Linked DNA regions of Callithrix jacchus. The protein of the gene in region 1 binds, or shares a complex with, the protein of each later gene. Links are inferred from orthologs where the notes say so. Each region holds a gene or a part of one and is shown on either strand. Other genes may lie near its edges. The genes, in order: NME5 and DYDC1.

Region 1 (4,362 bases):
CCTAGAAATTGAGAATCTTTCCATATATTTAAAAAATGTTTTTCTCTTTCTGTGACCATCCATCTCTTCTGCCCATTTTTCTACTGATTTATTTTTATCTTTTTCTAGGAGCTCTTTATATATTAGGAGGACTAGCCCTTTGTCTGATATGAGTTGCAAATCTTTTTTCAAAGTTTGTTATGATTTGACTTTGCTTATGGTATTTATTTTGCTGTAAAGAAATTTTTTGTTTATATAATCTTACTAGTCTTTTCTTTCATGGCTTCTAGATCTCAGGTCCATTTGGAGTCTTTCCTTGTATACAATACTTGATCCAACTTTTTCAGTGGCTACCAGTTTTCCTAACGTTTGCTATAAAGTTCTTTACCTGAGTCTTTAATTACATTAAATATTTCCTAACACTTTCTCGTACCATCCCTTCCCTCAGCCTCCACCTGCCCTTTGAAGCTCAACTGAAATCCCATATCTTTTCTGAATACTGATATTTTCTATTCATTTCATTTATTATTATTATTATTATTATTATTTTTGAGATGGAGTTTCGCTCTTGTTACCCAGGCTGGAGTGGAATGGCGCAATCTCGGCTCATGGCAACCTCTGCCTCCTGGGTTTAAGCAATTCTTCTGCCTCAGCCTCCTGAGTAGCTGGGATTACAGGCACGTGCCACCAGGCCCAGCTAATTTTTTTGTGTTTTTTAGTAGAGACGGGGTTTCACAATGTTGACCAGGATGGTCTAGATCTCTTGACCTTGTGATCCACCCACCTCGACCTCCCAAAGTGTTGGGATTACAGGTGTGAGCCATGGCGCCTGGCCTATTATTATTATTATTTTTGAGACCGAGTCTCCCTCTGTTGCCCAGGCTGGGGTGCAGTGGTACCATCTCAGCTCACTGCAACCTCCACTTCCTGGGTTCAAGCGATTCTCTTGCCTCAGCTTCCAGAGTAGCTGGGACTATAGACACATGCCACCACGCCCAGATAATTTTTGTATTTTTAGCAGAGATGGCATTTCACCATATTGGCTGGTCTAGTCTTAAACTCCTGATCTTATGATCCATCCACCTCTGCCACCTAAAGTGCTGGGACTATAGGCATGAGCAACTGTGCTTGGCCGTTTTCTCTTTATTTTTAAAAATACTGACTAAAGGCTGGGCAAGGTAGCTCACGCCTCTAATCCCAGCACTTTGGGAGGCTGAGGCCGGTGGATCACAAGGTCAGGAGTTTGATATCATCCTGACCAAGATTGTGAAACCCCAAAATACAAAAGTAGTATTTTGTCTACTAAAAATACAAAAATCAGCCGGGTATGGTGGCACAAGCCTGTAATTCTAGCTACTCAGGAGGCTGAGGCAGGAGAATCGCTAAAACCCGGGAGGTGGAGGTTGCAGTGAGCCGAGATCAGGCCACCGTACTCCAGCCTGGGTGACAGAGTGAGATTCTGTCTCAAAAAAAAACTAACTAAATAAGCAATATGACACTGCATAAATGTGAAAAAATAAAAAATTGGAAATTCAAATTAGAATACTATAAAAGAAGATTAAAAATATTCAATTTTATTTGATAATCCTTAACAATGCTATTTATATTCATTTTCAAATCCCTAGAATGACAATATTTACTAATTGCAGAACAAATATAAGGCTTAAAACATTAAATGTTTGTTGTAACTGAAAAAATACTAATAGTCTAAAAGTCCATCAATAGAGGATCAAGTAAATAAACTGTAGTTCTAATACACAAGGAAATATTACACAGAAGTTAGGAAGAGTGAGATCAATTCAGATGTAATGATTTGGAATCCTATCTGAGGGACTCTGTAAAGGGGGTCAAGGGAAAAGGGCTGCTCTGTTTTATGGGGGGAAAACGTTTATAAATGCATAGAAAACTCCTGGAAGAACAGAAAGTGTTAAGCGTTGCCTCTCTCTGGAGCCTGGGACTTGAAATGGGAGAGGACAGGTGAGGGAAAAGTTAATTTTATTTCTCATTTTATATCCTTTTAAAAACTATCACATAAAACTTTTATACTTAAAAGAATAAACTTAAAGGTAATGCTGAACATTAACGGTTTAAATGGGTAGGTACATTTACATAAGCATTTTTTTTTAAAGGGCAGAGAGGAAAAAAGCATGAATCATCATGCCCAGAAGTTACCTGAACAATGGTGAATCCAGATCTGAGAATAATATCTCGTATCTCCTCCTCTTTGTCAACAATATCTGGTTTGATAACGGCCAGAGTTTTTTCTACATATATCTGAGGTGGAGGCATTGATATCTCCATTATGGCTTTTCAGGACACAAATTGAGAGTTTCTTAACAGGTGTCAACTGCAATGACATAATTTCCCTCCCAATCCCAAATTCAATGTAATTGTGATTAAGAATAGCAATATTAGGTACTTGATTTTATTAACTAACGCAGGTTAAAAAACTGCCGTGTTTTTCTATATGCAGGGTCTCAATAATAGGATTTCTACTATGTCCATATCGAGCCCCGGCTTTTCGTACACGCTGTCACCGAGGCGGGAAGGACTACTGGGCTCACATGACCAGAGGCCAAGGGTCGACCCGAAGCCCCGGAACCAGCGGCATTCCCAGGCAGCAGAAGGTGGGAGGGGGCTCGAAGGGGGCGGCGGGCTGGTGGCAACATCACACGCCAATACAGCGGCGGGTGAGCGGCCTCTTCCGGCTGCCTCTGTGAAGCAACCCTGTCCCGCAGGGACCTCTCTGTGCATAGGGTCAGGCCTAATTGGAAAGCAGGGCCTCTGGGTCCTCTGGGACTTTCCGGGTTGCACCTGAAAATTCTGAATTTGACCCTCTCTGAGCACTCACCTCAGCGGCCGCCCTGGTGAGTTCAATTTGTTGCTAGGAGACCTGAAGCCCCAGCGTGGGGACGGTGGCTGCAGAGGGCCAATCCCAGCAAGGAACCTCCTTGCAGCCTCTGGCAAGTTGTTTTAACCAAAGCGAGCCAGGTAGTCATCTTTATTCTCCTTGTGAATCTTAGGGCACTAGATATTTTCTGACATTTTACTCACAACTTATGTTATTTCATCCTGTTCTTCAATTATCCCTACTTTATAAATGATAAGACCACCCCACCTCCCAGATTCCTTTCCAGGCAGTGTATGTAAGACCCGTGTCAGATACCTTCATTTGACCGGATGATGCTGTCCCCTCTATGCCAAGCTTACCTAGTCATTAAAAAGCAATATTCTGTTTGTGAAAAGACATTTATTTATTAGAGTAAAAGGCTTAGTAAAAGATCTAATCTAATTGTCTTTAAATCAAGCCCGTGGAACAAAGATGTATGCAACATTTATGGCATTAAACCCAAATCTCAGCTTCCCCTGTTTTTCCTTATATTATGTCCACATGTATCATTGAGTGAGGTAGGGATATTCTTATTGGAAAAGACAACAGAGACATGGCAAAGAAGTACTGGGATCCTCTCTAGGTCAGAGTTCAGGGAGAGGTTTCAAACTCTAGAAAAGTCAGGCTAGAAGCTCCACGTTACAAAATAGGTTTTCCATCATCCACTGGGTTGGCTGGTTCTCCTTCCAGACTACTTGAGCCTTGTCTTTTGTCTAACCAAACATTCAGCACCTAAAGGGTTAAGGAACACATAGCAAGCTATTATGAAACTTACATGCTAAAGGATTGCAAGTTTATTTCTTTGGCAAATAGACTCAACTATACTTTTTTTCTTTAAAGTATGATGCTACCTAGAAAAGAAACCCACAAATGTATTCTAGCTACTGTATCTTACTCCCTAGAGATGGGAAAGTGTGAGCATATATTAATATCAACAGATAAAGCAACCAAAAACTACACAGTGACTCTGGCCTCTTTGGAGTTTAGCCCATTGACTTAAGGCTCTGGAAGCAGGAATTCCCATTACTTATCTGTCCTCAGCTGTCTTGAGAGCTCTTCACTGCTGCCTGCATTCCTAGACTACTTCACTATCAAAGCTGGACTTACTGAGGCTCAGGGTTTTCCAAACCAGCAGGCAGATTATCAATCCTTCAGGGCCTTAATCACCTTTAAAAATAAACTCTGAGAGGCCGGGCACAGTGGCCCACATCTGTAATCCCAGCACTTTGGGAGGCCGAGGCGAGCAGATCACCAGGTTAGGAGTTCAAGACCACCCTGGCCAACATGGTGAAACTCTGTCTGTACTAAAGAGGCAAAAAATCAGCCAGGCCTGGTAATTCCAGCTACTCAGGAGGCTCAGGCAGGTGAATGGCTTGAACCTGGGAAGCAGAGGTTGCAGTGACCCAAGTTCATGCCATTGCACCCCAGCCTGGGTGACAGGGCGAGACTCTGTCTCAAAAAAAATAATTAATTAAATTAAAAATAAACTCTGA
Region 2 (2,919 bases), on another chromosome or scaffold:
ACAGTAAACTCCACAAGGTCAGAGCCATCTGCTTTATTCACCACAGCATCAGGCCCAGTGCCCGACATATGGAAGACATGGTATGTTTGTTAAATAAACAAATGTACTTACATACTGGAGAAACATGCACTCTCATTAGGACATTCATTTGGTTCCAGGGTTTGCTACTGAGAACCAAAATGGTGCCCCCCACACCAAGTTTAAAGATTATGTATTTCACAAAATAATTTTAAAAAATATTTTGAAGAGGTTTTGAGGTCACAGCTACAAATAGAGAGATATAGATAGACCAGTGACACACTTCACAAAAGGGCAGAATGCCAATTAGGAATGTAATTGGCCACCAGGGAACTGGTTTTCTTTCTCTGAAGCAAAAGGACCATTTGCCAACCAATCCTAGCCTAGCCTTGTTTTCCCTAGGCTTTATTACCTAAGTGAAAAAACAAAAAAACGAAAAAGAGTTTTTGAAAAGCAGGCTGATACTGACATCAGAAAACATTGGCTCATCAAGTTCTTCCACTCTGCTCAAGTTAGGTGCTCCAAAACGACCACTGGTTTCAGCTAGTGTTTTGCCTGAGTCTAGTGTTGCTTCCTACAATCATAAAATTCATGTTTACATTTAAATGATTTCAAAATTAATACATTACTTTTCTTTCAATTATGATTTTAAAACTTCTGATTATAACATCAAAATTCAACATTATTAATTAATGGAATTAACCAATTTCTGTTAATGGCAAGAGAATTTTGGTAATAACTGATAAAACTTATTTTAAAAATACCGGCAGAAATTTAAAATAATTATAAGTAATTATGTGGTCAGTAGTTTCAATATCTCAGGATAGATAGTTTTTAAAAACAGATAGTTTTTAAACTGCAAACACAAACTGAATGTCCAATTTTTACCCACAGTGACATTTTGCTTCAAAGCACATTATTTGTGACTTGCTATTACTGGAAAATATATATGGCCTCTCAGTTTTATACACTTGCTAAAAATTTAGCTACTTGTACATCGAAATTAAGCTTTACATTCTAGGATACTCAATTCAATTCACATAACATAGAGTGACTTTTTCTTCTCACCTCCGAACGTAGAGTATCTTCACTCCTAACTAAATTTTCTATATTCATTCTCATCTCCTATAATATATAAAAATTATGAAAATACTTTGAATATACTTAATTTTGATTTCATGTTTAATTTTTGGCATTTTTATTTTTACACAATGTTTTTAATCAATTTAAAGCAAAAACGCTGTCACTCTGAAAGAGACTGATCTGATTACGCATTACAAAACTGCAGATCACGATCTTATTAAATACTCTATACCAACAGAAGGCCACTATGTTTTATACATAATTAAATAAAACTTTTTAGAAAATGAAATGGACTGAAACATTCAAACTGAAGTCAAATTATCTACCAATATGGAAAGTGACAAAATAAAAATACTAATAAAATCTTAGAACAAGAGATCTTAAAGAGAAATTAACTTAAGTAGAGTTTTGCACACAATGAGAAAGAAGTAAACATTCTAAAGGAATTATCTGGCCCAATGCACAAGTCCTCCCACAGCAGTTAAGTAATGCCCTCTTTAATAAACAGCACTGCAGTGGGAATGTACTGCCCAACATGGGAGGCCTCTTTCTGAATGTGAAAACATTCTTCTAGCCTGCCAAACCTTGCTATGGCACCCATCTTTTCATTCTCAAGCAGCAGGGTGGCCTAACTGCCCCTGAGTTGATTCATTTTGGCTGCTAGAAGATGAGTGATTTCTTTATGGTTACCCTAATGATAGGGACATAAATGGCACTATTTTCCCAAGATCACTCCATTTTCCTGGTAACTTCTTTTTTTTTTTTTTTTTTTTTGAGACAGAGTTTCACTCTAGTTACCCAGGCTGGAGTGCAATGGTGCGATCTCGGCTCACTGCAACCTCCGCCTCCTGGGTTCAGGCAATTCTCCTGCCTCAGCCTCCTGAGTAGCTGGGATTACAGGCACACGCCACCATGCCCAGCTAATTTTTTGTATTTTTAGTAGAGACAGGGTTTCACCATGTTGACCAGGATGGTCTCGATCTCTTGACCTCATGATCCACCCGCCATGGCCTCCCAAAGTGCTGGGATTACAGGCTTGAGCCACCACGGCCGGCCCTTTCCTGGTAACTTCTTATCCAGCATCCACAAGGCTATACTAGGGACATTCATATTCTTATAGGACCATGTTCCCCTGCCACAGGGATGGATATCTGACACAAATTAAGCCAGTCAGAATCCTTCTCCAAGATTCTTTTCTTAATTGAAACTAAAAGAAGGAATCCATTCCTCTTAGATGGTTAGAAGCCACAACATTCTAAGACTCAGAAGCCATTAAGGGCCATATTCCCCACCCATGTGCAGCACAGCAGCCCATAGAGAAAGAATGAAACTAACCAGGGAATAGCAGAAGTGAGAGCCCTGGTAGCATCTGATTCTCTTGCTCCCTAAGTCTGAAAGGCCCAGTGACATCAGAGTCCTTCACAGTTTAGGTGCTAAACCCTTAAACCAAGAATCCTTCCAGCAAATTTCCCTGTGCACATGACAGTTTACATTGCGAGTCTGCAGCCATAAGGCCAGGGGAAAGACATGAATGGATTCATTTCTGAGCAATGGGCAAGGGAACAGTACTTTGCAGGGGAGTACCTATACTATGGTGAGAGATGATAAGCCAGTAGGAATATGAATTATTAAAGTTATTGTGGCTCTGGTCACGCAAGCTGACAATGCCTGGAGATAGTAAAATAACATGAGTGTGGCCCTCTGGAGCCACGAAACAGAGACCAATCCTTACTATAGACTTTCAAGCACCTTAATGTAGCTATCAGGTTACTTTGATTAAAAAATACTTTAAATTCCTTTATTTTGATCACTGTCTTC

What was found.
Region 2: NME5 (region 1) and DYDC1 share a complex: the UniProt entries of both Homo sapiens proteins name them as parts of the axonemal radial spoke complex. The link is inferred for Callithrix jacchus from reciprocal best matches to the Homo sapiens genes NME5 and DYDC1.

Annotation. Positions count from the first base shown.
Region 1 is NC_133503.1:36,544,916-36,549,277, forward strand, and holds the start of NME5 (nucleoside diphosphate kinase homolog 5), read right to left. Parts: upstream 2,875-4,362; 5' UTR 2,831-2,874; intron 2,607-2,830; exon of another isoform or gene 2,557-2,606; intron 2,391-2,556; exon of another isoform or gene 2,327-2,390; 5' UTR 2,281-2,326; coding exon 2,152-2,280; intron 1-2,151. Other genes in the region: BRD8 (bromodomain-containing protein 8), read right to left, coding at 3,509-3,601. UniProt on the Homo sapiens protein: Functions as part of axonemal radial spoke complexes that play an important part in the motility of sperm and cilia. Does not seem to have nucleoside diphosphate kinase (NDPK) activity.
Region 2 is NC_133513.1:50,213,079-50,215,997, reverse strand, and holds part of DYDC1 (DPY30 domain-containing protein 1), read right to left. Parts: intron 1,144-2,919; coding exon 1,087-1,143; intron 593-1,086; coding exon 488-592; intron 1-487. UniProt on the Homo sapiens protein: Functions as part of axonemal radial spoke complexes that play an important part in the motility of sperm and cilia. Plays a crucial role during acrosome biogenesis.